3 linked regions of the Lepisosteus oculatus genome follow. The protein of the gene in region 1 interacts with the protein of each later gene in a biochemical or structural test. Links are inferred from orthologs where the notes say so. Each region holds a gene or a part of one and is shown in the gene's direction. Other genes may lie near its edges.

Evidence for each region.
Region 2: the proteins of cdc27 (region 1) and anapc4 form a complex in vitro, tested with the Homo sapiens proteins (2 studies listed by BioGRID). The link is inferred for Lepisosteus oculatus from reciprocal best matches to the Homo sapiens genes CDC27 and ANAPC4.
Region 3: the proteins of cdc27 (region 1) and pttg1 form a complex in vitro, tested with the Homo sapiens proteins (3 studies listed by BioGRID). The link is inferred for Lepisosteus oculatus from reciprocal best matches to the Homo sapiens genes CDC27 and PTTG1.

Annotation. Positions count from the first base shown.
Region 1 is NC_090723.1:7,972,142-7,982,713, reverse strand, and holds the start of cdc27 (cell division cycle protein 27 homolog), read left to right. Parts: upstream 1-6,462; 5' UTR 6,463-6,621; coding exon 6,622-6,648; intron 6,649-8,855; coding exon 8,856-8,931; intron 8,932-9,440; coding exon 9,441-9,588; intron 9,589-10,291; coding exon 10,292-10,417; intron 10,418-10,572. UniProt on the Homo sapiens protein: Component of the anaphase promoting complex/cyclosome (APC/C), a cell cycle-regulated E3 ubiquitin ligase that controls progression through mitosis and the G1 phase of the cell cycle.
Region 2 is NC_090696.1:77,824,625-77,834,905, forward strand, and holds the start of anapc4 (anaphase-promoting complex subunit 4), read left to right. Parts: upstream 1-5,592; 5' UTR 5,593-5,726; coding exon 5,727-5,727; exon of another isoform or gene 5,728-5,731; intron 5,732-6,697; coding exon 6,698-6,813; intron 6,814-7,470; coding exon 7,471-7,576; intron 7,577-8,087; coding exon 8,088-8,220; intron 8,221-8,539; coding exon 8,540-8,611; intron 8,612-8,884; coding exon 8,885-8,911; intron 8,912-8,991; coding exon 8,992-9,036; intron 9,037-9,761; coding exon 9,762-9,846; intron 9,847-10,281. Other genes in the region: srd5a3 (polyprenal reductase), read right to left, coding at 1,586-1,845, 2,631-2,762, 3,202-3,393, 4,266-4,417, 4,920-5,119. UniProt on the Homo sapiens protein: Component of the anaphase promoting complex/cyclosome (APC/C), a cell cycle-regulated E3 ubiquitin ligase that controls progression through mitosis and the G1 phase of the cell cycle.
Region 3 is NC_090706.1:28,923,286-28,933,657, reverse strand, and holds pttg1 (securin), read left to right. Parts: upstream 1-5,731; 5' UTR 5,732-5,838; intron 5,839-6,232; 5' UTR 6,233-6,234; coding exon 6,235-6,325; intron 6,326-7,002; coding exon 7,003-7,160; intron 7,161-7,985; coding exon 7,986-8,073; intron 8,074-8,282; coding exon 8,283-8,429; intron 8,430-8,901; coding exon 8,902-8,987; 3' UTR 8,988-9,234; downstream 9,235-10,372. Other genes in the region: pre-mRNA-splicing factor SLU7, read right to left, coding at 825-989, 1,194-1,274, 2,142-2,295, 2,989-3,125. UniProt on the Homo sapiens protein: Regulatory protein, which plays a central role in chromosome stability, in the p53/TP53 pathway, and DNA repair. Probably acts by blocking the action of key proteins.

The DNA of each region.
Region 1 (10,572 bases):
ATCCCTAAAGGCATTAACAAAGTCAAACATATGTACTTCAAAATCAACAGTGAACAAGGAAACAGAGGCCACAAGTGGAAACTACAGGGTAGGACATTTAAAACCTAGACCAGTCCATACTTTCTACACAAAGGGTTGTGGGAGGATGAAACAAGGTACCAGGACATTTCTGTTGAAACTGATACCCTGACTTGAGATGCTTGGACTACTATTTAACAAAGAAACTAGGTGGGTCTAATTTTTCACCATTCTTATATTCTTCTAAACTCTCCAAGCCTCATTTATTGACATCTGACTTGCATTTTATTACCTGTGAGGCAGACGAGTGAGTACCTGCTTCTCAGATGCCGAAGGCCTGGAAAGAACAGCCAATTCAGGACAGCCAAGATAGTACCAGAGAGGCACACAGCCCTTTTCATTGAACAATAGAGTGGGAACACACACAGAAAAAAAGGGAAATTGGAGACAGAAAACTCTTTTCTGTTTTCACTGTAATATACCAAACTGTAAATAATAACTAAGAAAATAAACAAAAAGAAAGCAGACAAATTCTGGAAACATAAAGCTGGCTTCGCACAGGGGTGGGATTGTCAGATTCTCATTCTCACACACCCACATCAAACCACTCGGCCACCTTTCTGCCTTTTCAGGTGTGGGATCCAGTTTTTTTTTTAGGTGTGTGATCTAGCTGTTTTCAGGTGTGTAATCCATCTTTTTTTCGGGCGTGTGATCCAGCTGTTGTCAGATGTGTGATCTGGCTGTTGTCAGGTGTCAGATTGATCCAGCTGGTGTCAGGTGTGAGATACTATTAAATAATGTCATACCTACAATCGTCGGACCACAAATAGTCACACCAACCTCACTGCTAACAACCTTAATCCTTTTATTCCATCAGTAGCCATCACAATGTGCTACAGGAGGTAATCAGTGTCTCCCATCAGACTCTGATTCCTTCCAGTATTTAAGACCCACATTTCCACGCTCCTGTGCTTGGTCTTAGTCTTCATAGTCTTCTTGCCTGCTCACCGTGTTCCTGGATCACCCTTGTCCTGTGCCTCTCCTGCCTCAGACCTCTTTACTCTTCCTGTGTGTATAGCAGTACTACAAACAGACCATCAGTCACCGTATCCCTGTAGCAGCTCCCTGGTTTACTGAGGAGTCAGTGCTGTGCTCACGTCTTGATTGCCACGTTCTGTCAATCTTCTCAGGATACACACTGGCCAAATTATTAAATACCCTGTCCAAATTATTATTACGATCCTGTCATGAGCAGCACCGTCATGTCCTATTTCTCTGGCAGAAATGCCTACACCAGCGGTTGTCATGAGGGTAATGGTGTGACACTGAGAATATTTTCATTTGCCTGGAGGTGCCTAATACTTGCTAATGAGTGAACCTATGAATTCCCCTTTATTTTTTAAAAATTGTGCAATGCACAGCATTGTCAATTTTAAAATGCATAATTATCCATCCATTGACTTGTTTGATCAATTTACTTGGCTGCCATTCTGATCAAAGTTGACTTATACAGTACATTTATGCGGTCAGGTTTGTTGGAGAAATCTGGAAAAGGACCTTGTTTCACTGCGTAGCCAGGATTTGAACTCCAGGCATAAATCCAAGACTCTAACCACAACTCCACATTCCCAAGCACATGCTAAACCACAACACTGAAGTGGGTAGATCTGGAAACTCACATCCAGCTCTTGTCTTAATTTCCCATACTTTTTTTTTCTTTTTACAATTGCTTAGACATCTACAAATTACAGCCTATTGAGATCACAGAAATGAGTCATGAATAAATCCACCAACTACACCTACCTACCTACACCTATATATTTCAACTAGGGTGAACAAATCAAAACTGCAATTAAAACTGTTTTCTCAATAGGGCTGCACTGATTCTGTCAATCTACTAAATGTATTTGTTTATTCTTAAAATGACTATCGAAGGTCGAGACCCAATGTCTCTGAATCCATCTCTTGCTCAGATCAATCCACAATCAGAGGAAAGAAAATGTGATTTTTTAATGACCTCCCGATACCTAGGAGAAAGCAAAAGCATTCAGTATAAAAGATAATAATATTGATTCCTGTAATAAAGAATCAATCCCTTGTACCTGTTCCCTTGGAATAGCTACAGCACCTGCTGTAAGGTTCTGGGTACCATGAGGACACTTTGGAACAGCAGAAGATAGATAATCCACCTGCATTAATACCTGTCAGTGCAGAGGAAGCTCTGGAGTACAGCAACACCCTCTGCAACAAATTAACTACACTTCAGCAATCCACTAATCTCTTATCCCTGATTTATTTTTTAGAACTCCTTTTTTTTTTCTTTTGCCTTGAGGATCCGAGTCCGCACAGGGATTAGATCCAAGCTTTTTCCGAATCCGCCCTGGCGCGATGAAGTCAGACTAAGTATGACCTCTGTCTCGAATGTGAATGGAAGAAATGGAGGGTAGAAATTCAGACTGGGTGCGTCTAGGGCAAACAGTGCCATTGGGGTCTCTAACAAAATACCCAGGAAATGTGCTTTTCTTACAAAAACTATTTGTGTTTTTAAAATTATTAATTGCACCCCCACTCACGTTCTGAATCATGCTTCATGCTTCATGCTGATTCATGCTTTACAACAATCAAGGTGAAGGGAGAAACCTTAGAAACGACTAAACACAAATGACTACAGTAAATTTAAGGGAATCAAAAGCTGATGTATGAAAGTAAATTTTAAGTCATGGGCTTAGGGATCATTCCCACAGCCTTGGAGAAAAACAGTACAGGAAACATGATCTCCCCATTATCTCAGGGTCACCCAGGGTTAGGATCCAGTTTTGGGGAACTAAAAGTAAAACCAAAGAGCAAAGAAAAGTGACGTTGTGTAGGGGGCTAACGGTTCACTGATTTACTTAGGAGACAAACCGCTCAAGCCCTTAAAGACAGCAAGATTTTGAAGTTTATCGTAAAGTTCACAGGATGGCAGTGCAAGAAAACTACAACAGGGGAGATCCATGAATTTAAACTGAGTTACAAGCAGCTGGTTTGAACATGCTGTAGCATACTAGTTGTGTGACTGTGTAAATCTAGGTACTTAATTTTCCTTTAGGAGAGTTTTGGACAGAGTCAGGAAAACTAGAAGGGTAACATATTGTATTAGTGGTGTTGTGGCTCCACCTGGTGGCTTTATACACTTAAAACTTCAGGCTCTATTGAAGCTTTTGACAACATCTTAGCCATCCGATTTCTGTTTTATCCATTACAAGGTCACAGGGGATGTCAAAGCCTAGCCCAGCAAACAACAGGCACAAACACCCAACAGGACCCCATCCCATCAGAGGGTACACACAGGCATAAATACACAGCCACACCAGGGCAAAATTATCTACCAGCGAGTCCAAGTTCAAGTTCAAGTTCATGTTTATTCAATTCAATTTATTTTTAGATAGCGCCTTTCATGACAAGGTTGCCCTAAGGCACTTAACAATGCAATTGACAATACATTTTGTCAATACAGAACAGAAGACCAGAAGACAATGGAGGAGAGGAACCAAAAACTCCTTATTAAGGAGAAAAAATACCTCTAGGGGTCCAAGGTCAACTGGTTGCCCAACCTTTTTGGGCATGCTAACATCATACAATTAAAAAAAGGAAATTATGAGGGTATTAATCTATCCATCCATCATGTCTTCTGTGTGTTAGTACTCCATGCAGATCTCTGTAGACCAGTAAATTCCTTCTAAACTTTAGCTATATCTACGATGTCCCTCTTGGATCCAAGTTTATTGTCATTATACTCATATACAGGTATATGGTATAATGAAATGCTATTTAGCTAGCTCTCAGATGGTAAGCAGTACAAAAAAAACAACAATACAATTGTATAAGAAAAGAAAAACAGAGACAACAGGCAATGTGCAAAACGACAACAGGTAATGTCCTTAGAAACACAAGGAGAACATACAAACTCCACACAGATGGATTGGCCCAGGGCCTCAGTGCTGTGAGGTTACCATGTTAACTGCTGTGCCATCGTGTCGCCCGGAACAAACCCGGTGGCATTTGTCACAGAAATCCTATTGTTCATGAGCATTGTCCGCAGTGATCTAAACTTTGGATTTGAGAGGAGTGTGGCTGGAAAGTGATACAGTTAAATCAGAGGTGAGCACTAGAATTTGATCGAGGCTGGGATCCAGGTTCCATGCTTCTGCATAAGAAAGGTTACAAACTTGTGCAGTCTTTTCTTGAAAGAATCCAGGGTATTGGCTTCAACATCCTGGCTGGGTAGCTTTGTCCATACTCCCACCACCCTTTGGGTAAAGAGGTACCTCCTGTTCTTGGATTTAAACGCTCTTCCACTTGCTCTCTCTGGTTCATGTTTCACTGTTCATGTGGAAGACATTCACTGAGTTGACAGTGGCAATACCATTAAGGATTCTGAATAGTTAAACTAAGCACTAATATTAATACATACATTAGATCTGAAGTGCCCTTTATTCTGACATAAACCCCTCTGCTCCGGTACCTACAGTAGTTGCTTTTTTCTGGACTGACGTTAGAGCAGCAGTATCTTTTCTATAATGTGGTGACCACAATTGTGCACTATATTCTAGTAAGAGACCTTAGTAGTACAGTAAACATTTTGAACATAACTTCCACTCATTTGAATTCCACTTACAGTATGTCAACATAATCACGTAGGTCTTTTTCTCATAAGTAGCTTCTTCTAGCTCAGTGTGTCCCATTTTTATTCCAGATGTGCTTTACTTTATTCCTAATGGTACTTCTGCTGTTGTAGAATGACAAGAACCCTTTTTTTTATTTCTTTTAGCCTCCATTGTAATATGTTTTAAATTTTCATTTTTTAATAACTTTATCACCTGTGCATGTAAACCAATTGTCTTTGTTTCTGTTGTTTTAAATGTGTTGTAATATGCTTTATTTTTCCCCCCAAAATAAAAATAGCTATTTCTTAACTGTTTTCTGAACCCTTCCGGATGCTGTTTTTTTAGTTTTTGTTTGAGTCACTCTTGTGATAAATTTGTTCTTTGCTTCAGACTGTTTAAACTCTAACCATCCCTTTTCAAATGACCTCATACCTATCCTGTCCTATTTTATTTCTCTTCCCCTGCATCTCATTCCTTCAAAAGCCTGCTGTCCAGAAATTGGACACTTTTGCTCCATACTCAACCTGTACAGATTCAAAATATCCATCAGCACCATATTATGGCCAAAAGCTCATAAAGGTTCTCCCATCTTTGTTGTCCTCATTCTCCTGACTACTTGAAAAGACAAGATCTGCTCAAGCAGTTCCACCTATAAGCACTCTGATAACCTGTCTTGCCATCAGTGATGAACTACTGTTTGTCTTCCATTTCAGCCTGTTCCTGACATACCTAACCGCCCTTTGTTCCCATTGTGACCTACAGTTACCAATAAAAATAATTTCTTATGTGGCATATACATTTTTAATTTCATTATACGGTGTTGAGTAAAAATCTACATCTGCAATTGGTGGTGGTGTCTAACACACTGCTAACACCACACCTATAGATTCAAAGAAGTAATTCCTCTACCCTTAATTCCCCAACCTGAATATTCTTTTTGATACGCTGTAGTCCCTTTCTGGTTCTTTGACCTCATTTCTGTGTCTCGACTTGCATTGCTTTTGTTTTGTTCCTGCCAAGTTTTAAGCAGAGCCTCAGCGTTTTGACGAGTACCTTTTTTCTTTCCGATCTTCCCAGAAGAGAATCCGCTTATGCCCCATTCCTCTCCATCAGTTTCAGTAACATCATAACTCCCTGCTAATGTGCCAGCTTCCATCCTATTTCATTTGTTTCCCAGCTTTTAGGTATAAGAGCCTAATTACAGAATCGTTTGTTTTTTTTCCTTTGGTCTTTGTTCCCCATGTAAAGTTTAAGTGTCGGGCTTTTAGTGGGTTATTGAGCCAAGACGACCACCATCTATCCCACTCAGATGCAATCTGTCGTGTCTCAACTGGTGGCCTTTGATGTGGAAAAGGTTTTTAGAGATCCAGAAAGCTAAAAAGTTTATTCTGCACGCTGTGGCTTCATCCAGTCGATCCCAGATGGGACTCAAACCCACAATCCCTGGGTTAGGGCGGGACAGTAGCTTATCCATTAGGCCACTGGGGCTCATTAAAATGTGCTTTAAAAACATGTTGATTAAACTGGACAGAGTATAGGGCAGTTTTACTTTGAAAGAGGCATGTATTGGAGAGAAGTCCATACAGAAGGTCCCAAACCCTAATTTTTCATAATGAAGACAGGAAGAGAGAGAAAGTAATTGAGAACGAAAGCAGCCAGCCATTATCACTGCGCGCTGTAATTAATTGTGAATGGAAGTGTTATTTCACACTCCTAGCTTGCGCTTGCGTTTCGGGTTGTTGGCGAAGCTATCGGCAATTTCCGTCACAGTCCGTCGTTGTTCGTGCCTGTTCCGCATTAATCGGCAATCTCCGGCGGGTCTCGGTTTGGTCGCTAACGGTCGATGTGTTTAAATCCTCGGAGCTCCTTCGGGCCCTGAAACTGAGCAAAAGGCGAAAGAGGGGTTGCGGAACGGGGGAAGCGAGTTAAAGGCAGAGAGAAGGAGCTTGATCGCGTAATGACGGTGCTACAAGAACCTGTGCAGGTAACGGAGGAAAATAAAGAAACGCGGCGCAGCTACTTGGTTAAAATGAGAGCGGCCTGTGGTGGGAACGCGCCCACCCGAGTCCGGCTCTCGCCAGCCGGTAGGGAGCTCTACTCCGAGCCCGAGGCCTGAAAACAAATAGTGGAGGCCTCGCGTACTCTCCTTTTGGGAAGCTAAAAAAGACGCGATTGAAAAGCTTTACAAAGCCAAAAACGATGCGTTTGTTTGATTCAGAATTCCGGTTTATCAGAATTATAACAAGATTTTCGGGTGATGTGCGATTCTTTTATAAACGCTTTGTTGCAGTTTATTGCTCTTGAAATTGTATTAGTCTTAAAGTCCTAATTATTCGCCGGTGTGGCATCTTGCCCTATGGGGGAAAGAGGTGTTTACTGTAGTATTTTGTTTTCTAAAATACGGCAGGTAGTTCTGTAGCATTTTGCGACCTTACACAGGTAACTTGGCTGATGTGCTAGTGGTTAATAAATTGTGATGGGTCATTAACAGTTTGATCAGATGGCGAATTCATTCAAATTGGGGCACTGTGGAGTAACCAGACATTGTGAGGGTCGTTTTTGAGGTTTTGTTCTGCTTTGGAAAGACTTTGGTTCAACTACTGAAGTTTGCGATTGTGAGATGTGGAACATTGTAACGTAGATGCCTTTGAAGTCGAACACCTGCATCTTTGTTTCCTCTGGCTTCAGTGCATTGCTTTAGCGACTGATTGTAGAATTTGAGTGAATATTGATCGGTAGGCTTTTTTTAGGTCTTTTTAAATAAAAATAAAACCGGAAAATTGTTACTTGGTGTTAGCGAATGCTGTTTATCTCGGAGTGTGTGGACAAATAAACCTAGGTACATAAAATGACACAACAGCTTTCGAAGTTTTTGACTGCTGTTTTTTAACAATTTTTTGCTCCTGAAAAGGTATTTTTTCGCATTTAATAAACACCTGAAGGGTGATGCGCGGTGATCCTGTAAGGTGAAATGTTGCATGTGAAGAGCAATACGTTGAACGTGTCTGCAGTGCAAACGTCTTCATGAACAGTCGTTTATAATCAAATTCGGTTTATTGCTTTGTGGTCTAATGTCGCAGAACTGTGGGTTTAGTATATCAAAGGGACTTTCTGCCTATCCAGGTATTGTTTTTCATCTGAAGATATGCCCCAATCCCGCCCCTTCGTAGTAAGTGAGGCTGTTGGGGTTAGGGGTTATAACTGGGAATAACTGTGCTCTTTTTCTCTTAATAGCACCAGTAATGCTCGTGCTTGTAGAATATGTACAGGTGTTTGGAGAAGTGTTTTACCTGCTGAACTGAGGTAACTGTTGGGTGACATGGAAAGTAATGGACATAACTAGACTGGTGTATGATCACTGACACAAGTACATAGCCACCTATATTTGAAAGAGAATGTGGTTATGATAGCTTGTACTATATATAACGCAGGGAGTAATATGATTGGGGACTGCGTGAAGTGTCATTTCTGTGACTATAATGCCCATGAATAGCACTTTTGGGTTACACTTGAACTTCAGCTGTTAAAACATAACACGGCCAATCTATCTTGTGTGGCGTATAATGGAGAACTAATGTGAGAGTGTTATCCACTCTGTTTCCTGAGGGAAGTAAAGAGTATCAGCTTCAGCTGTTGTATCTGAGTTCCAGACTCCCACAAACCTTTGCATAAAGAAGTTATTGCTGCTTTTGATCTTAAATGCACTGGTCATTATATTATTCTAAGTAATGTTTTCTTTTTCACAAAATGTGTCAAGTTTCTTTGAGATAAAAAATGCCGCTAACAGGACAATAACGTTCTTTTTAAACTGCCTTACTTTAATTACACTGCCATTTGGGTTGTATCCAGTTAATCTCTTGGCCATTTACTGAACTTAACCTATGTTTAGTCCGCTTGGTTATATACGAGCAGCAGTTAGTAATTATGACTTTTGGTTTTATTGAGAAACATTTTGTAAATATTTCTTAATATGCAATCTTATTAGTAGTATTCCTGATACAACAATATGTGAATGGGTTTTTAAAAGTTTGATCTTGTTACCCAATTCAAAAAAGATTTTTAGTTTGCTAAATCTTCCCTGTTTCAAAATGTGTAAATTAACTAAACACGTTTCAGATCTTGATGATATTTGTGCTGCAGATAAGGACCTCTGCTGCCAAGATGGTACTGAATTTTTCATTTCATTCCTAGGCAGCTGTTTGGCATGCACTAAACCAGTATGCCTACCGAGATGCTGTCTTTCTGGCAGAGAGACTCTATGCTGAAGGTAATGAAATAGATGTGAGGAGATCACCCAGCTGTTCGGAACTTTTTCTTGGTTGTAATAAATCAATAATGTCTCAGAAGTGATGGAGTCAGACTGGGAAATAAAATTATTAGGGACTCATGTATCCTGAATAAAGGTGGTGTAGTTGTACATCTTTAATCATGGCCCCCAAATTATTGTGAAGTGAGCTATATTTTAAGATGCCTGATTTTTAGAAATAAAATAACAGTAGAATTCTTTGTGCTGATCTGTTTTGCTGACTTCTATGTTTTTAACAATTACGCCTAGACATTTTGTGGTCTTGAAATCCTGTTTTACATTTTAATACTCTTTTCTGTATAAATGTATAGTCTTTAACAAGAATCCTTTTTTTAGCTATTTGGGGTGGTTTGCGGGGGGGGATAAAGTATAACGAAATGTTTGGTTGCCAGTTTTGTTTTGTTTTTATGCTTTCGAAATCTAAGCTCTTCATTAGGGCTGAAGCTTGTTTTTTTTATGTGCTTGGACAGTGCATTCTGAAGAGGCTCTCTTCTTATTGGCCACATGTTACTACCGGTCTGGCAAGGCCTACAAGGCTTATCGCCTTCTTAAAGGGCATAGCTGCACTACCCCGCAGTGCAAATACCTTCTCGCAAAGTGCTGTGTGGACCTGAGCAGGTAAGGCCGGCGGTTCTGAGCTATCTGTTGGGTTTTTGTAAGTCCAAATTCTCATTAACGCTAAAAGTATTGTATAGAATAACATACTTTTTTTAAGCAGGCACAGATCAGAGTAGTTTGCAATGTAAAAGTATTTTAGTTACCCCATCCAGTATACCGGGATGAGCAAAGTACTTATTTAAGCTTACAGCAACTTGCAGCCTATCCAATAACATGGTAATAATAAAAATGTTCTTACATTTATATAAGTGCCTTTTTGGACACTCAAAGAGCTTTAAAGATAATAGGGGCTCGCCTCCACCACCGCCAGTGTGCAGCAGCCACCTCAATATATGTTGCACCTTTGCAACACAGGGTGCAAGGCAGGGCTACACCCTGGACTGGGACTTCATCCTGTCACAGAATGCATGGGAGCAATTAGGAGACCTAGTTATCTTACATTGCAATGCGTGAGAAAATGGGATGAACTGGAATATACCCAGGTGGAGAACACGCAGACTACTCCCACAGACAATCCCTGTCTGAAACTGAGTTTTAATTTAAACAGCTGGGAGACAGTGGCACTAACTGCCATGTCACTGTAACCCCTCGTTTCTTCTGCCTTGAGCATTTACAGTCTTCGTCCTGATTGTTTGGTGTTTCTTCCTTTGGCTTTACATTTTCCTCTTTTTTTTTCTTTCCAAAAAAATCTTTTTGAACTTAGACTTGCAGAGGGGGAACAAATATTAACTGGGGGAGTCCTGAATAAACAGAAGAGCCATGATGATATTGTCACAGAGTTTGGAGATTCTGCTTGCTTTACCCTCTCTTTACTGGGACAGATTTACTGGTAAAGGACTTTGGACGCTTATTCTTTCTGCATTTGTTTGAAAGTTTCTTTTTTTTTAAAGGTTAAAAAAATGTACATTACTTGCGCATTTGTTGTGAAATTCGGGAGAAGTAATATTAATCTCTTCATGGCACCAGTTTCTAATGCTGCATCTG
Region 2 (10,281 bases), on another chromosome or scaffold:
CCAGTGTTGATTGATGACTTTATGTGGTAGAGCTGCCTGTGAAGATTTTTAGTTATGTTGTTTCTGCCCTAATTCCTAACTTACAAATTCTTGCTTCGAGTGTACTGCTTCTAACAGCACACGTTTACCCTTATTACTGACTAACCCAGCTCCTACCCGGAGGCCACCGACACGGGTGAGCTTCACCTAGCACCAGGCACTCCCACAATCTGTTTCTCCATCTGCAGCTGTGCTACTACATATCAATCAGCTCAGGTTTAATTGGACCGGATAAATGCCTTCCACCAGTTCAAAGTTTATTTATCAAATGTACAACAATGCAGCGTGCAGCAGTAGTTGCTGGAAATGAAATGTCTTTTCTGCGAGCTCATCGGGGGGTAAAAAACACCAAATAAAAGTTACAAAATAGATAAAGTTACATAATGATAGATAATAGTGCAATAGAAATTGAATAAGAAACTCAGACAGAGCTCAATATAAATAGAGCTGCTTTTGAAATGGTCTCCTCCAGCCTTATGAAAAACAATGCAAATTAATTTTTCACTGATATCAAAACCCCTCATGGAGATAACAGGAATCAATTTCTTTAATCATTTGGCACACTTAAGTAGAATAAGAAACAAAACAACAAGCAGGAACTCATGGAACACAGATTTAATCTCAAGGTACTGGAAACACCTCCAGGAGAGTAATGGAATGTTTTATCTTTAAGGTCATCAGAACTAATCGGTAATCCACATAGTAAGAAAGCTGCTTGCTCCTGGTTATAGTCACAGCACCCCAGAAGCTAACCCCACTAGACATAGGGTGCAAATGAACATTTCTCCCTGGGCTAGACTCCATTCCATCAAAAGGACACAAGACAGGACGCACCCTGGACAGGACACCAGTCCATCACAGGGCACAAGGTAGGACACACCCTGGACAGGACACCAGTCCATCACAGGGCACAAGGTAGGACACACCCTGGACAGGACACCAGTCCATCACAGGGCACAAAGTAGGACACACCCTGGACAGGACATAAATCCATCACAGGGCACAAGGCAGGACCATACTCTGGTCAAGACACTAGTACATTTCAGGGAACAATAAGAGACATCAGATATCCTACCCAGCTTATCTTTGCAAGGGAGGAAACCAGAGCACTCAAGAGGCAGCAGCACTAACTGCCATGCCAACGTGCTGCCCTGAATCAAAACTTGAACATGTCATAGAAATACATACAGAGAGGTGGCTCTGTGGCTCAGGATTTGCGCCTGTGGCTGGAAGGTTGCCGGTTCGAATCCCGTGGCCGGTAGAGGAATCCTACTCTGTAGGGCCCCTGAGCAAGGCCCTTAACCCCAACTGTTCCAGGGGCGCTGTACAATGGCAGACCCTGCGCTCTGACCCCAGGCTCTCCCTATCTGTGTGCCTGTGTGTCTCATGGAGAGCAAGCTGGGGTCTGCGAAAAGACGAATTCCTAATGCAAGAAACTGTATAGGACTAATAAAGTTATGTTATGTTATACAAGATTTATTTACAATTTTGCACAAGCGGAATTACATTCTTTCCAAGCGGTACTTTCATACACTGCAGCTGAAATCTATAAGACCAAAGGAATGAAGGCTTTGCGGTGTTTTGGATAGGAGTCAAACTTGGCCAGATAGAACTGGTGGCACAGCACAGCCTCCAGCGCCTGGCAGCTGAGCACGTACAGGACCACCAGCCACCAGGTGGGGGCGCCGCCGCCGAGGGCCACGCAGTAGGAGACGTAGATGAGCAGCTCAGCGAAGTAGTGTGGGCAGGAGACGAGCCGGAACCAGTCGCCGTGAGGGACGCAGTGAGCCAGCGTGAGCACCTCCCCTGCCGCAGCCGGAGAGAGACAGCGCGTCGGGGTTAATGATCCGCATCGGGGGTGTGAGCACAAGGCCCAGCGCGACTGACGTCAGCAAGTTTAACAACCGCCTTAAAACTTGTAGGGGAAACTTACAGCAAAACAAACAATAGACATGAACGGAGCCAAACAGAAGTTCAGAACGTACGAGGTCACTGTATTATATTTTCACTCAGCAAAATGGATGATTATTGGACAGACGCTGTATGTACACCTACCACCAAAGTGTGTTTCTGTACGGTCAAGGATGAGGGCCCGGCCATCCATTCAGCCATTTTTTTTATAACCTCTTTCTCCAATACAGGGTGATGGGTGAGCCAGACCTTCCCCAGCAAGCAATGAGCACACCCCGGCCTAAAGAAGTGCCGGTCTAGGTGCTCCTGCATCAGACAAGCACCGTTCCATTGGTTTCAGATCTTCAGTTCCCCTTTTATGAACTGATTCAGGCGCTGGGCTCTAAGCCACATTTTCTTTTGGAGCAGGAAGTTGGGAAGCTTTAAGGCTGTGAAGAACAAATTGTTCATGGGATTGCGCCAGCTTTTCATATCTATCCTTGTCAAGCTAGGAAACGGGGAGTGTAGTCAAAACACTTGGACAACAATCTGAAAAAAAAAATGCGACTTGAAGAAGGATCAAGTGAGATTCTCGGCAGTGTGAATTACAAAGGTGCAGTTTGCCAAATAATTCCCCAGTCAAACCCGAGTGACCTGTCATGAGTGTAGCAACACCTGTGAGACCCCCGTGTAGCTCTCACCTGAGCGACCCTTCCTCAGGTTAGCGAGGATCACGTGACACCTGTGCTGGTGCACAGAGGCCCAGACAAACAAGCCCACCCCCGCAAAGTGGTTCCACCGCACCTGTGCCAGCACTCCACCTTTAACACTACCTGCCAAAACAATAAACAGCTGTTTTTAAATGCCAGAACTTTTTTCTCTTGAAATGTATAACTCTACCATGCTTTTATTTACAACTGGAAAGTTAACAAAGTATACTGCAAAGTATGCATTATGTCAGATTTTGCTTTGTTTCCTTTTTGATACTTGTGTCCTGATGATAGGTAACGAAATATTATTCCATCCTAGGTTGGTATTAGAAAATCCATGTTATTCTCTGACATTGGAGAAACAATCATTCACTGTTGCCTGCATTCAACATGACTGAGGAAAACCATGCAGACCAGTAAAATACACTGCACTTGTGAGGAAGAGGTGTTGTACACAAGGCACAACAGAAACACACAGCTGTAGGAGTTAAATACATATTAAAGACATTCAAAATCAGCAGTAACAGTATTTAATAATTACATGTTCTCAGGCCAGACTGACCTTCGTGTTCAGTGTGAATGTTGGTACAAAGCACTGTTAATCCAAGTAAAATGTAGTAACCAAGCCCAAATCCATACTGCGCTAAGTGTATGACTCCATTGGAGAACACACTGACAAACAAACACTCCAGGAGCCTTCGGAGGGAGTGAGCACACAAGAGCACCTGCACCAGGAGGAGAGAGAACTGCTCACCTGTGAATGGAGAACAAACAGGTGCACTGTAACAAAGCATTGAGATGTTTAACGAGGTTAAATATGAGCCTTTGGCTTCAATCGGACAAACATCCATAAAAATCGCCCAGCAGACAGAAATAAGGTGTTCTCTCTGGAGTGGCTACTGTTACCCTGAGCTCTCCAGGCCTCATAATTTACCCTGTCTGCATGCAGTTGTAATCTACCTTGTGAGAAAATAAAGTGCTAAAAACTAATAAGCTTGTTCTGGCACAGCTAGGTGAACAGCAAATCAATGCAATGGACGTCAGCGCATCACGATTTCCAACTAACTGGTAGAGAGATGGACAGATCCTCACACACTGGGGGTTCCCACCCTGGATCTGGGGAACCTACCCCTGCTAGTTGTCCTTTTAGTTGAGCAGTCAGTCACATAGCCAGATTCCTAAAGGGCCTAATAACAGGCGTGCTGTGAACATTTTAACTGTAGTTCCTCAACATGTTGGTGGCTGCCTTTAAACTGTCGCATTTCTTCTGATATAAATATGAAATAAAGCTGATCGTAATTAACAGCATAATAATTATTATTGCTGTTGGTATTATAAATGTTTGGCATTATTTAATAAGTCCAACATTTGCATTACAAAAGCTCAAATTGAAGTAATTGTTGGCTTCTAATTTAAGTAAAGAGCTGGGCTGGGATATGTTAGTGTTGATCCTTCAATGTTCTTTAGGTTAAGTATCCAGTGCAAGGCTACTTGATCATTTAGCAGAGAACCACCTGCCACTGCCCTTGACGATTCAGGAAACGTGTGTTCTTGTCTTGTGTTACACCTCCCAGCAGAGCAGCAGTGGCCTCATTCCTGCTTTTGATACAGCATGTGGGAACTTACCTGTCCCAGGTGTGGCTGTACCTCCATTGAGGAAACTCAGGGTGCTCTCTAACCAGCCTGGAAACTGCTTACCCAGCAGGGTCTTTTGTAAGCAAATAGTGAGTAATAAGGAATTCCAAATCACAGACACAGCGTAAAAATGGAAAAACCATCTGCAAAACACCCCCCAAACAACAATATTAACAATCTGACACGGTAAATAATAGTAATAATATATACAACAGTTAATATGCAGAATTATAAAGACTGTGTCATTGTCTTAAAGATGGAAACCAAGATAGTCCTGTTCGTATCACACGTGTTCGAGTTACAATACAGTGCAGTTACTTGGTGACTAATACACGCGTTGTATGAAGTAATAAGTTACATACAGCATGCCATTTATTATCCTCGAGAAAATGTAATAAAATATTATTTTCAGAACATCGTGTTTTCCATAAGGCAATTCTAACGTCAATCTAAATTTAATATCAACATAATCCGGCCGTTTCTAATCAGCTTCTGTTTTGAACGCACAGTTGAAACTTTACACACGATGTCTTTTCATTCATCATATGAACATCTTTCTCTAAGGGGGGAACAGCAGTCCACAGCTCTGATTAAAGTTTAATATGATTTATAATTTAAGCCCCGGCAGGGTAAGATGTCTCTGACCTTTTAGGAACATCAAAGTATCGCAGTAGGTCTGACCGCTGTAGGGTGGTCTTGGTTTTTCCGTACCGAATAAAATCCTGGAATAAAACATAAACCCAGGAGCCACCGTATTTATCAGACGAGTGAGCACAAACGTGAATACAAAAAGCAAAGAAAAAACAGAGAGACAGAAGTAACCATATACAATCAATAGGATTCATCCTAAACCACTGAAACCAAAGTTTCTTAGTGTCCGCGGGGGAAACAATTCCGACGTGCAATGCGTGTCTGTGCAGTAGGGGTTCCGCACCGCAAGGGTAAATACTTTTCAACACTTCTATAGCCCTCTGCTGGAGTCTCCACTCAAAGCGCTTCACGGGTAATGGGGATCCCCTCCACCACCACCGGTGTGCAGCCCCACCTGGATGATACGCCAGCAGCCAGGGTGCACCAGTACTCTCCTCACACACCAGCTCTCAGTGGGGAGAGCAGAGTGATGGAGCCAGTGCAGAGATGGGGATAATTAGGAGGCAAGGCCCAGGGATACAACCCCTACTTCTAATGGTATTTGTTTAAATCGGTCCCGTTAAACAATAATAATAAATCTCCAAAGTTCTGCCTGCCGGCTGAATAAGGCGTTTTGTCCCTTCTCGCTTGCCGTCCGCCCTGCGCTGGTGGCGATTGGTCGAGTACTGCTCGCTGGCCCCGCCTCCACTTGGTTGCAAATGGCGCCGCGCATGAACAGGCGCCGGAGGAGGATGTAGTGGGTTTGCCTGTTTCTTGGGAACTGGGCAAACGAGCTTTGTGCTTTGCTCGGGTAAAGAGAGAAGTAGGTATGTGCTGATGTTGTGTTCTATTTTGGAGGAGTTTGTCAAGTTTACTAGCAACCGCAGACTGCAATGCGTGTGCAGTGTTTTCCACAATCTCCAGTGTGCACTGCGAAGAGCGAGGTCATTTTGTGTTAAAATGAAAGCGGAAAAAAATAAAAATCCCAAATCGTATTTATTCTGAGAGATCATCATGCAGTGTTTCAGAAATGTATCGCTGTTAAATGTATCTCTCTTTTTTTTTTGTTCTAAAATTCAAGTGCTCACTACTTACAAGTCTTCTCAGGTTGGAAAATCGATGCCATAGCTGTATTTGAAGACTTACAAATACTGGAACTCCTCTGTCTAGACTAGAAATTCAGACTCATACCCCAGTATAGTGACATGGGAAACTGCTGCAGGAGGTGCTAGTCTTTGGATTAATCATAACTACCCAGTCGTTAAAGATCCCGTGACAATGTGAGAGTAGTCATGTTAACCCTGGTGCCCTAAATAAATTCCACTCCAGTCTTGAAAATTCCATGTTCCCTCAATTCCCCTTTTGATGTGATTGGTGCCGCGGTTTCTCACTCCTCCACCTGTGTGCTCCCTCGAACATGTGAAGCCCTTCAGGATGGGGAGCGCTGTGGGAGTGCAGGGAGTGACACAATAACATTATTGCTATTAAATACTTCTCAAGCTGTGGGAGCTGAGCTCTTTAACCTGCTCACAGGCCCCTGGGAGAAGCGTCTGTGTGTGTTTGTGTGACGGAATGGCGTCCCGTCCCGTGCCCATTACTGGTGGGAGCGTCTCCGGCTCCCCTGTGGCCCTGAATTGGGAGAAACGGTTGGGAAATTGATGGAAGCCGAGTCCAGTGGTCTCCTCCACTGTAAGCACACAGGAAGTGCTTCCTGCTTGTCGCTGTTTCCTGGTCCTCCTGGAAGCCCTTCTCATGTGCTGATCTTTTTCCCGGTTTGTCTGTTTTTTTGTCAGTGCCGAAGATGCCTGCGTTCCGACAAGTGGGGGAGAAGCAGCTGCCGAATGCCGTCCTTTTCATGGTCTGGTCCCCGAAGAGGGACCTGATCGCCCTCGCCAACCGAGCGGGCGAGGTAACAGCCCCAGGGCTTCGGGGCAGCTGGCCGCAGCCGGAGGGGCGCCGGTTACACGCCTGGCAGTCCTTGTGCTGAACTGGCGGATCAGAAGCTGATGCTCCGTGTCTCATGCATGCCTGTGCTGAGAATAAATTCGCTGTTCTGAGTGGCGGGTTTTCCCCGAGCGCGGCTGTCTGTCTGTCCACTGGCCCTGGAGAACATTTCTGTGTTTGAAAGTTAAATCGCCCCCAATGAATTAAAAAAAAAATAACACTCCTAAGAATAGTTCACGGCTCAAAAAAACAGCAGATTTCTGCTTTTGAGATGGTCACCCAGTAAATCGTCTGATCGTCTGTGGCTTTGTCTGCCCTCTGACTGGCATCGAAGCCTCCCTTTGTGTGCGTCTTGCGTCACGGCTGGGGAAGAAGCCTGTCTCTGTCTACTGCGATAGAGGCAGTCCTGCAGCAGACTGTAACTGTTGGGTTGCTGGTTGTAAATGAAGCTGTGTGTAAATTAAGATTTGAGGGTACAGGACAGAAAACAACAACTGGGGAATTCTAATCTCATAAAAGATGACGCGAGGAGTGTAGCTCTCGCTACGTGTATCAGCGACATTTACAAACCTCATTAATTTGTCTTAATTGGTTTCAATGTATTTTTTAATTTATTTTTAAGCTCCTATTACACCGCCTGGCGAACTTTCAGCGGGTGTGGAGTTTACCTCCCAATGAAAACACCGGCAAGAAAATCACGTCGCTCGCATGGAGACCGGATGGCAAAAGTAAGGGCAGGGAGACTTTTTAACAGGAGGGGGTCTGCTGCAGTGTCTGAAGAGCCCCAGCACAGCCTGGAGCCCCAGTTACTTTCTCCTGGGGACTTTATGCCATCTAGATAACATCTACAGCATCTAAGAAAAGTATATTTTACATTATTTGTCATCAAGAAATCGACATGACTTGGATTTCTTTTATTCCCTTTGCCCGTGCACTTCTTCATCAGTTGAGATGAAATTATAGCTTCTGTTGAGGGCATCTGTGTGATATGCATCCAGAAGGGTGGTTGATTATTCAAATTTGCAAAAAGAGCTCTAAAAATGTAGAAAACGATATTGCAATCGGGAGTGTGAAATAGCTAAAATGCAAGAACGTGATTGTGAAATAGACTAATCCAAAACCTGTTGTGCACTTTAATACTAGGAATAATCGCCTGTACTCAGAAGGATGTGGAGTACTTTAAGTGTGGCCTATCTCTTGTAATGCAGTTCATGTTCTCTGTTTTTTTTCCTTCGTTAGTTTTGGCTTTCAGTGTTGGGGATACTAAACAGGTGATTCTTTGCGATGTGGAAAAAGCAGAAATTCTGCACTCTTTCCCTGTGGAGCAGCCAGTGTCGTGTATGCACTGGATGGATGTTTCGGAGGACAACAGGTGTGTTTCCGTTATTGTCACAGGTGGAAAAAAAAATCTGAATTAGAAGAAATGGTCACTATGCGAATTTGCCTAGTCCACACCATTATTTTTTACATCAGATGCGGGCTAGACAGTGCTCACATTAAAAGATTCCTTCATGCTATTAGGCTGGTGTGCAGGTTACCCAGCTGCTTTCTTGCATTGGTAGTGACAAGTAACGTAACTTTTGTGAACATGGAGGTGGAGGTGACCCACGAACGGCCAAAAAGTTTAAATTGAAATGTACGAGCACCTGCTTTGTGGATATGGTAGAATAGCAGATCGCTTTTTATTGCAGTGTTTTCTCATCGTTTTATAATGAAGATGAATCGGATCTTTTCCTGCCAAAGTTACCAGCTCTTCCAGAGAGGTAAGGATCTCTATTTTCTGAGTGCTTTATTCTGATACTTTTAATCAGTTTCTGTATTTGACCTATGTGTTAAATGTCACTTTTTAAATTGCCGTATCAACTGAAGTTATTTAATATCACCTTTGCAACGTTATTAAAAGTTAGGTTTTGCCACAAATGTTGTGTTTTCAAAACATTAGTGCATAATTTCAGTAATTGTTAATCTTGATAAGTGCTATAAAAGCGTAAGGAATTATTATTAATTAATTGATTTTCGAATATTTTTATTTACAGCTACAGCACCACGTCAAAAATATTCAGGTAGTTTCGCAAACACTTTCTTTTGATTTTCATACATAAATATTATTGCACAATTAACTAATTTATTGTCTGGCTTCCAGCGAAGACAAATCTGATGAGATTATGAATCTTCTGGGTGAAGTAAGGTGAGTTTTTAACAGTTTTTATAGCTATGCATAAGCAGTAGGGTGCAAAAAAACATCATTGAAATTGTTCATGTGAAGCATAAAAATACAAACCTCTGTTGGAACCAGTAGAATTTGTTGATTTTTTTTTCCATGACACTTATTATAGTATGTTCTCATTAAATACAGAGGAACAGGTAAAGGTTTATTCCACGCTGAAAAGAAACAATGTTTCGTCAGTGGAGGCTTCTCCGGGTGTTCTTCTGTTCTACTTTCAGGTGTTCTTCACACCTGAAGAAGACTCCACAGCCGAAACGTTGTTTTTTTTCAGTGTTGTGATTCTATCCTTCTCTTCTCAGCAGGAATAAACCTTTACTTGGTCCTTTGCAGCCTGCGCATGCTGACGCAGCTGCCTACTTGAGCTACCTCATTAAATGCGGTTGTGAACCTTTTCCGTTGTGATGTGGAGAACATTTGTTCTGTGACCAGCTGCTGTACGTTGCTGACCTGGGACAATACGGCTGCTGAGGTCACGACTGTTTTAGTTGAAGATCTGATCATCTGTAGAGCGAATCACTAGGCTGTATCTGCTGTTTACACACAGATGCTGGAAGATGAACACCTGGCTGCTCAGTTATTTGTAACTCTGATGCAGATGTGCATGAGGTCTCTTGCGGTTAAAGCTCTGCGTGTCAGGGCATGGATAAGAACAGCGCTGTTCTGTGTCCCTGTTTCTTTGTCCACAGGCTCAACATACTGGTTCTTGGCGGCGAGTCTGGATACACTGAGCTCTACGCCTACGGCATGTACAAGATCACGACTCTGACTGGGGTAGGACTCCTTTATCTTCTCGACGCACGCTCTGGTGTGGCGCTGAGCACGTCTAGAGCACGTGTTCCAACCTCGCAGTGAGCTGTCTTAGTCATTGAACAGAGAAATCTATGGGGGGAGGGGCCCAGTTCAAATGGCCTCCTCTGGTTTGTAGCCTTCCTTCAGTTCCCATGTGACTCTGTTGAAATACCCAGTAGTAAGCAGCAAATGGCCTCAGGGCCAGAACCTTATGATTTTAACTTTATGGATTCTAGAAGTGATCTGTCTACACTATTCTGTTGTATAGTATTCATGTATGGTACAATCAGATGCACTTCAATGCAGCTTTAGGTTTGCTTTTTGTACAGTAGGCACCATAGCTTCTGGTTAGCCTGCTGCATACAGTAGATGCGGCTTTGACAGCTTCAGAGTTGTTTACATCTGCTTGTTTCATCT
Region 3 (10,372 bases), on another chromosome or scaffold:
CCAGGCAATTCACAGGAGGGTAGCAACAAAGACATTGCAGCTATTATTTTATTGACATGCTCCTCAATTTGGCTGCCAACTGTTCCCTCGTTAATTAACCCCGCTGATAAGACATCAGCTTGAAACTTGCAACTTGGAAATCACTAAAATGCTCAAAACTGCTATGCAGTAGGCATCGCTTTCTTGAGTCCCCGGGGCTACAAGTGTGAAACCGTCTATCTGTTAACGTACACAGAACAGACACACAAGTCTGGCGATTTGCAAGTCTTTGTTCTGGAAAACCCTTATGAAGCTTATTACAACTGGAATTAAAAAGGAAAATAAAACATAATTAGGCAACAAAAATCAGAAACTGACTGTGAAATTATCCTTAGCACAAAATGCCTAATTGGTATACTCATGTTTTCAAAAAAGCACCGGATAACCGGGAGCATAATTAAAATATGTATATATTTAAAAATGCTCACAGCATCAGACTGAGGCGTAGAGGGGTGTACATATTTTTACAGATGCACGTGGTGTCAGGCAGAGGTGTAGAGGCGTTGTACATATTTTTAAAGATACACACTGTGACAGAGAAGTAAAGAGGTATAGAGAGTTAGATCCATGTTCACACGGTGACAGACAGAGGTATAGAGAGTTAGATCCATGTGTACCATGTGTCAGAGGTATAGCGGTATAAAGAGTTAGATCCATGTTTACATGGTGTCAGACAGAGGTACAGCAGTATAGAGAGTTAGATCCATGTTTACATGGTGTCAGACAGAGGTACAGCCGTATAAAGAGTTAGATCCATGTTTACACAGTGTCAGAAGTGTACTCACCAGATCCACCTTGGAGTACTCCTCCACGATGCGCATGTGCTCCTCAGGGTCGTACCCGTTCCAGCGGTCCCGCTTCCCGTCGTAGTCCAGGGACAGCTGCACCTGGCTGTGCTCATCCTGCGCGATGTCGGTGCCCGTGAACTTGGCTCCCACCTTCCTGGGCCGCTGGGGAGACGGGGCGCAAAGACAACCCGTTTGATCGTTTGGACAGCGGCGCGGCCATTTTCTTCTGCCTCGCTCTGACTAGCCACCCGGCGACGGAGGCCAGCTCGGGAAGGCTCAGGAAGGAGAAACAGAAGGCGAAAGAAAACGAAACAGCCAACTATCTTTCCCCCCGACCAGGACCATGGAATATTGGTTCCCACTTACCTCCAAGCAATCCTTCTTCTTGTGCGTCATCGCCCCACAGTTCTCGCATGCCCCTTTCCGATACTTCGTGGTAACAGGTTTCTACGCCAAAAGAAAAAACACTCACAAATGCTGTATACCATCCCTCACACAGCAAAAACATTTTTCAGTCTTATGATAATAAATGGCCTGACTGAAGATTACAAGACAAGTAGTGCTTGAGCAGTAAAATGTTCTAATAGACCATTTTGTTTCAGCTTAACAAGCCAAGCGTCCCAATTCTGTACTTTTCTTTGCCTAATGCCTAAGACATCAGTTATAAACACTACATTTATCATTCCCCAGAAATTCTCTCTTTTGCCACTCCCTTAAATGTGATAGTTCTGCCCCCCTTCATTTTTATAAGGCTTGGCACCTCAGTAGCTGTCTGAACTATTATCGCCCTACTCCCCACCTCGCAACCTTCGCTCTTCTAATTCTGCTCTCCTAACTGTCCCCCAAGCCCGTCTACACTCTAGGGGTGGCAGGGCCTTCTCCTGTTATGCCCCAAGGCTCTGGAACTGTCTCCCCAAGGATATCAGAGAGTCACCTTCTCTGAACTCCTTCAAATCCAGGCTCAAAACCCTCTTCTTCAGAAAAGCCTTTACTGAACTGGTTGCATTCTTCACCCCTCTGCTTTTCTTAGTACCACCATCCACGGTCTCCTCTATATATTGTAATTGTGTTTCATCTTGTGTATTCTTCTTATTTATTGTTGTTGTCATCCTGTAAAGCGCTTTGAGAAACCACCTTTAAAGGCGCTACATAAAATAACGTTTATTATTATTATTATTTTTTTAATGTGACTTTTCAGAAAACAGTGAATCACATTCTCGCCTGGGGCAAATACCTACGGGAAAGAAGGCTCGTGTGATTTGAGGGGATGGGCTACCTACAGAGCAGCACCCCAGCGCCGCGCTGAGCACTCACCTCCTGCACGCCCCGCTTGTACCAGTCCCCGATGGCCGTGTACTGCGGCTGCTTCTCCTCCTGTGGCCTCTGGTGCCTGAGGGTCGGCCTCTTGGAGGGGTCGATGTACCAAGGCACGGAGGAGATGTACTGAGGAATGTGCGGGTTGATGTCCCTAGAAAAAGAATGAAAGGTCAGCAATTTCATTTAGACCAACGTTGCAAACCTGTAATGGTGCGACGCGATGCTCAAGAGCCGTGTCTTGATCACATATATGCTAAGTATAAAAATTTCACAAAGATGGCAGAGGATACCAAAGCCATGGGCTGGAGATGTGAAGATCTTTGTTCTAAAAAAAAAACACCTGGAAAGTTACTAGAACTGGTATCAAGAAGGAAAAGGCAACATATCTAAGCAATGGAAGTCACGAACTTCCACTGACTATCCTCTGCACAAAACCCCTCATCGGTATTTTGTAGGTTAGTATCAGCAGGGGCATATGTAATGAATTCATATTTAAAGTTAAACAGGTTTACAGCCAGCCAATCTGGTCCTGGAGGGCTGGTGTGTTGTAGGTTGTCATTCTAATTTAGTGTTTAAGAGCTAAGCCAGGAACCATCTGGTTTAACTAGACTAATTTCACAGCATCTCCCAGCTCTTCTTGAGCTGCGGATATAAAGAGCCCTTAGCTTACACACAAAATCCTACAGCATGCATCTTGCGGCACCCCCTCAAAAAAAACTCTTGTTCTCCTGTCGCTTGGCTTTCCCCAAAGGATGCCCAGCAGCACATCAATGCTTTTGGATTTCGGCTCCAAATTTCCACCCTTTATTTGACAGTTTGTAAGGTTTTGGCCTGCGTGACGTACTTCCCCTCTTCGTCCACCTCGGCTGGGGCATTTCCCAGCTTCCTCTGCTCCTCTAGCTCCTTCTTCTTCCTCCAGTCCTCCCTGGTCATCTTCTTGGGCTCCTCCAGCCCCACCACCCCCTCAGTCCCTGCTGACATGGCTCTTCTGTTTCAGCGCCACCTGCAGGAGGAGGGTGGGAGAGACTGGATTATTCAATTCAATTCAACCTTTCAAGTCCCACTGGGGAAATTAGTTTTACCCCACACTCCAACATAACACAAGGACAGACAAAATTTTACCAACCAAGAAGTGGTGGTTGTTACGGCAAGACAGTTACGATATTAGATATTTCAGTGGGGTTGAAAGATTTCCTGTGTCTATGAGTATTACAACTGGGGACACAATCCATAATACACTTTGCTTTCTTTGCATTACAAAGCATTTCTTTGCACGCTTTGCTTGTAGAGGATATGTGAGGTGAGCTGATTTCCTCCAATTAATTTGCTATTTATTTGGACTAGGCTGGGAAAACTATTACAATCAATGGTACTCATTTCAACACTAGCAAGTGAGATAGTATGCCAAGACACTTTTAATAAAAGACTTGTAGAAATTGTTAGGATGGTCCTATCTATCTAGAAATTTCTTAGTTTTTCTTAGCAAACGTCTTTGTTGTACTTTTTATAAACGGTTTCACAGCATTTGTCCCAACTCAGGTTCTTGTCTATGACCACCCCCAGTACTTGTTAGTCAGTGACGATTCCTGCAGTCTGACCATTAATTACTGTAGGTTGGAGAGATGTTGCATTATTCTGAAAATCAATGACCAGCTCCTTTCGTTTTGACAACATTTAAGTGCAAACTCGTTACACCATTTAGTACAGTCATTTAGAACGGGTCCATAATGGTTTTCTGAGTCCCCTAATAACCCAACCAGGACTTTATCGATGAGATATGTATTTGTGCGTTTGCTTTTACAATCGTTAGTATACAAAATATACAGAAGTTCAAGTAGGTAGCAGTGTCAGCATACGTAGACTGCAAAGGAACGGGTACAGGTTTATTCCTGGTAAAAAGAGACAACGTTTCGGCTGTGGAGCTTTTACCAGCTGTAACAAAACACAGCCATGTAGAAATATAGCAAATGTCAGATAACCAGTTCCCCAATTTGACCTACTGAGTCCCGTGAACGAAGTCGCAGAGCGAGAGAGATGATAATTTCCTTTGCAGTATTCGAAGAGAAAGGGAGGGGACTTGGGAGATGAACAAGAGGCCGAGAAAGACAAATACAGAAACAGACTGTTCATAAACCAGCCTCCTCTCCGTCTTCTGGGCAGAAACTGGAGAAGCTCCGAGGTTTGAAACCAGCTACTTCCCCGGCTAACAGGGGGAAACACGTGTTCTGTAGCGATACTGGAATTTAACAGTTACAGGAAAGTTATCTTCGAATACTGCAAAACAAACGACGTACTTCCAAATGCCATAGATTTACATTAAATTCACAAGCGTTCATCCATAACAAACTGGCCTTCCGTCTACAGCTACACAACCGTTGTGCGTAAACGACCTGGGGAAGCGCATTCAAATGAAACACATGACGTTATGACGCGAAATCCGCGTAAAACATGACGTGTAAGATACATAATAAGTAGAAATATGTCTTACCGAACTCGACTGACAATATATTTTGAGGTCAGTTTATCGTCTCCTAGTGTCGTATTTACAGTCCACCGCACAACGCCGCCATATTCCCAGGATACCCTGCGCGCTGACGTCATTCAAAGGGGGGCGTCTGCGTGGTGGTGCTTTAAAGTTTGTTCAGCAGTAACACAAAAATATACATTTTTAAATTTTTTAATTAAATTCTATAAATACTCCTACACTTATCGTGAAAATCTGTATTTGACTTATTCTATTTTTAATGTCTTAGTGGCAAAATCTGCAAATGAAGCACCTATAGTGCTGGAGGATTTAAACTAAACCGTAGTGATAATGTTAGTAATACCCGCAACTTTATTGGTAACTTTAATACTGTTTCCGGCGGCTTCGCCACCATCGGTGTGCTATCAGAATGCCCACTGGCCTCCTTGCGTTGATTTTAACTTTAAGAGATGAAACCCGAGTGAGATCCGCCGGCTGTTTAAAACCGCTCATCCGACGGTTACCAAACTGTTGCGTCAGTAAGGGCTCCCGGTCCCCCGGTTTCGCTGTCTGGAAAGAGCCGTATACTCCCGTCTTAACTGCTCGTTTGACTCAATTAAAGTTATACCATAGTTCTTGAATGTTTACATCTTTCTAATCTGCTCTTTTCACCACTTCGTTGTTATTACAGGTTCATAATTACTGCCCAGTGATTTAGAATTTTAAAAATAAATGGAGTGATTTTTATACTGTCCGCAACCCAGCTGTTAATGGATCTGAGGACCATTCCGCTATTCAAGCGGGTCCTGATTTACACGGTGATTTAAGAAATTATTTCCTGCGCCAGTCGATAAAAGTGATAAAGCAGTGTGTCGCACCAGGAATTACACCGGTAGGAGAACAGTCGGCTGGGCGATGATGAACTGCACTGGAGCCAATAGCCCGGGCGTCTACCCCTCCGTCAGGTTTCACTAAGATGACAAGCGGAGGCGCTGGCTTGCACCGAGCAAGTTGTGTGAAAGCAATAAAAAAGCGGCGATATGAAAACAGCCTCAGTCGGTCGCGTTACACACCCGGTCCGCAAGGGGGCGGTGCGGACAGTCGTCACTTCCTCGAAACAGCTGCATCCTCGTGCTCCCCGGAGAGCCAATGGGAGCGCGGATTATTGTTTAAAACGAGAGCCCACGGAGAGTGGCGCTTGTGTGGTGAAGCTTTGAATTTAGTACGCTGGTAAGTAACGCAGTGGGGAGGAGGGGGGTTTAAAAATGTTCTCTGTAATGAAATCGAAACGTTTTTGCAGTATTGGAGCAAAAAATAAAGCTGCAATACGTCCTTATGAGGCGGGTAGTAGCAAAGGTATAGTTTTATAGATATAGTCCACAGCCGAAACGTCGAGTTTCCTTTCTTCCCTGTTAAGCGTGGAATAAACATTTAACTTGTTCCTTTGCCGCGTACGCATGGTGACGTACGCAGCTACATTCTTGAACTACATAAGATTAGTTTTTTTTTTATCCATTACCCCACGTGGGACGTTCTTTTGGAATCGCTTGTTTTAAGTGTCCTACCTGTTAATACTCGTCTTGTTGTTGTGCACTACAGATTCGTTTTTTTTTCTTTTCTTCAGAGATGTCCCTGGCGATTTATACCGACAAGGAAAACGGCTCCCTCTCGACGCCCGCTCCCGCGAAGAACCGGGTGAGGCTACAGTCTGCTCCAGGTGAGACCCCCGCTCCGCTGTCGGGCCCTCCCGTGTTATTCATTGCGCATCGATTTCGATTGATAGACTACGAGGGTAACTAATTAGAAGAAGGGTACTTGGTTTCAGAGCGTCGCTACGGCGATATTCTTTTCCGAGCCACATCAGCGGAGGTATCGTTACCTGCTGAATAGTGCTGGGATGAATACAGGACCATTGCCAATGTGTCCTTTGTAAAACGAAATGACTAACAGTGGTGCTGAAATTAATTCTTTGTTAATAAACCCACTCCATGGCTGTATCTTTTGAAGTGCATCTCTTTCATAAAGCCTAGATTGCTGTAATGTCTCATTTACTGCATCCATGTCTTGGCTTATTTGGAGAAGTGGCTGGATGAGATCCCTTTAACCAATTCAATATGAGGTATCCTGGCCAAATGTCCCATTGGCCTTGACCAATCATGGCCCCCTTATAATCCCCATATCTGAGCTGGTTTAATCACTCTGTTCTCCTCCCCACTCAGAGCTGGTGTGTAGGGAGGGTACTGGAGCATCATCCAGGTGGGGCTGCACACTGGTGGTGGTGGTGGAGGGGATCCCTATTACCTGTAAAGCGTCTTGAGTAGTGTCCAGAGAAGTGCTATATTAGTGTAAGGGATTATCATGAAGTCTGTGGCATACTAGCTTCTCTGTTGGCAGATCTGCTCGCTGACAGATGCCTGAAGACGCCTCACACTGGGAAGCTCCTGACCGGCGCCCCCATGCTCTCGGCTCGGAAGACAGTCAATGCGCTTGGCTCAGTTCCCTCCCTGCCCCTTCTTGTCCGGAAGAAGGAGCCACGTGTGGGTTCGACTAAGGTACACTTACCAGGCAGCTTGCAGTGCCAGTAGGATACTTCACTCCTGCTCTAACCTGGAGTCCATCGACAAACCTGACACTGCTCTTGTGCCTGATATCTTAAACAAGTCTTGGACTCTTCAGCCTAGGTTCTGGATCAGATGGCTACTGATCAATTAAAGGAACCATAGTCCTTAAGGACTGAAAGCTCTTTAGAAAAGATCTTAAGAGCTCCAGTCTATGTGACTTGACAAATTACCTCCCTAATTGACCACTTCATAAATTTTAAAGGTTGTGTATAAAATTTGGTGCTGTGACTGGGTCCTGCTCACTATTAACTGCAACGAGACACGTACTGTAATGTTCAAGTTGAGCTGCAAACATTTCACCTCAGAAATGTTCTAATGTGTTTTGCATGCAGGGTTGGCAAAACTATCTTGAAGCCAAGAGCAATATTTCTATTGGATTAAAAGAGATGTATTCACAAGCCTGTTTGTTTACAATGTAAAAGGGTGGCTTCACCTCACCAGGAGTTGTTGCCTCGTTTGAATCGCAGTTACTGTGTACATTTTACTGTTGCAGTTTGAAATACACTTCTCCATGCGGATTCTTTCTAGCCCCAAAATATAAAAAGTGTTGCAGTTCCCCTTTAATGAAGACTCCGGTTGCCGCTCAAACCCAGCACTGCCTTTGATGGCATGGCCCAGCCTGCTAAGGACTCGTATCCTGTGGAAAGCACTGGTCACCTGCATTAGGAATCCTACTGATGCTTCACATGGGTCGAAGCCTCTGGCTGGTGTTTGGGTTTCAGTTGAATTAATCAAGCCGTTTGCCTGGCCCCCCAGCTGAAAGAAGAGGTGAAGGCCTGCCCCCGACAGGTGAAGAAAGAGGAGTACCCCGAGGTGGAGAAGATGATTCCCTATAACCCACTGGGTAGGTCCCCTTCCTGTGTGTTTTGAGAGGGGGGGGGGGGCTATGAAGGGATATGTGCCAGATAGCTTCTTCCTGAACCCCCCTAGTTGAACACCTGTTCCTGAACTCGGTAAGTCTGTTCCATCTGTTTAAGTACCTGTACATGACTGTTGTTGCTTGGGTTCCTGCCTACTCGCTCTCTGGGGCTGATGGTCCTGGTCTCCCATCAGAGTTTGAGAGCTTCGATGTGCCCGAGGAGCAGCGCCTGAGCCACCTGTGCCTGGCAGGGCTGGCAGTGCCGCCCACTGTGGAAGAGGAGGATGACTTTCACTTGTTGGATGTCTGTATGCAGCTGTCGCCTCTGACCTTACCAAAAGGTGTGTGTGTGGGGGGGGGGGGGGGGGGGTAGGGGTGGTGTTTTGTAGAGTGGGGAATCTGCCACCCTCTTGCAGAAACCAGTGCCGTAGGTTTTGAAGTGAGCAAACCCCGTTTGATTTAAAATGGTGAACAGGGCTGGCTGTTGACCAGATTGCATGCTGTCAGCCCATGAGCAGGTGTAATCCACCTGTTTAAGTGTTTTGCCTCCTGCACAATTAAGACTCCAGTTCACAAGACTAGATATGCAACTGGCTTTGCTGCAGGTGCTGATCTAGTGAGTGACCTATGGTCAATGACCTGACCTCTTTAAACTGTAGTCAAGCTGTAATAACTGGAAGTGATAAACCTTATTGTGCACTGCTTGGTAATTCAGTGACCTTTACCAGAAAGGTTCTTAATGTTTTGACTTTGCTACTCCAGTCTTAATCTCTTGTGAATGGGCTAAGACTAGGAGTGATATCTGTATTGCAGAGGACTGGTCTGCGGAACTGGACTCATTCTTGCAGACGGTGAGTGAGCTGACTGTGGATCTGCCTCCAATGGAGTTTGAAGACTGAAGCTTTGTTTTTGTTTGTTTTTAAGCATTGGTAATGAGTTTTTCATGTAAGCTGCTTAATAGTTAAACTACATTAAACTGTCAACCACTGTTAAGTGAGATCAAGGAAGACTGAGATCCTTCATCTGTTTTCTGGATGCTGTGGCACTTAACACCACCCAGTTGGCCGAAGTTGTGATGCCCACCTGTTAAACAGGCATTGTTCATTTTTAGTATTTGTTGTAGTTTCTAATAAATTATTATTCTGAGTTTGGTTTCTCTTCCTTGTTTCTGCCCATGATAACAATGCACACAGCTCCATGGTCTCTGCTTTTATTGTAGTACTAAAGTCACTTTGTTCCATTTTGGTTTGGAGATCTCTGTACAAACAAAAGTCTTCATAATTTAGATATACAAGTTTATGTACAGAAGACAGGCTTTATAAATAAAATATTGAACACATTTAAACAAAACTGGTAATGTTTAGCTATTGCCCCTTAAAGTAAGAATGCCTGTTGGTATGGACCACGAGGAATTTGTTTCCACTATGCTCAAAGAGGCTTAAGCATAAACCAAAAACAAACTGGAAAGCACTATATTAAGTGATTTGGTTCAGTCCAGAAAGAGTTAATATAACTGGCAACTCTGCTTTTGCAGCTCCTGGAAAGAACTGGTCCATGAAAGAGGCTTGGTACAAGCCATTGTACCAAAGGGACAGCCCTGGCAGTTGACATTACCAGTTCTGCACCTAAAGATCTCATCTAAGGAGCAATTTGTCCTTCTAAATGCTTTATCTTGCAGATTAATCTGACATATTACAGTTTTCATTTACAAATTCCAGAAAATGGGAAAACCACTACATTCAAAAACCTTACACAGGAAAAAAGCAGAGTGGAATGCCTCTTAGAAGATGCCAGCTGTAGAAGCCCTGCCGTTTAGCAAAAGTTTTTGGCACAAATTGTACCAGCTTGTTGTAGTTTAGTGTAAAGCAGCATGCAGGGCCTGAGATGAATGCTAAAGAAACTTTCCAATCCCACAAGGGTACAAAAGTGTGAAGCAGTGGACAGTCCATATCATTCTAGGATGGCAGGAAAATTATTCCAGTTTAACAACCTCCAGTATCCCCCCCCACCCCCCTATTCAACTGTCCCACCCACAAGAGTCTAGAAGCAACTGGAGTGTCCTTTTGGTTTTAAAGACTTCATTCCTGAGAACATCGCACAAAAAAGAAGCAAACTTTGTCCAGATGACTGCTACTGCTTGCTCAGCCCTTATTAATCACACAACACGCTCACACCAAGGATCAAGTCAGCCCAGTTAGGGATCTGGTGTCATGAAGCTGACAGGAAGATGTCTAATTCCATTAACCCTTTGCTCTAACAGATACAGAGCGACTTGGTGGAAAAC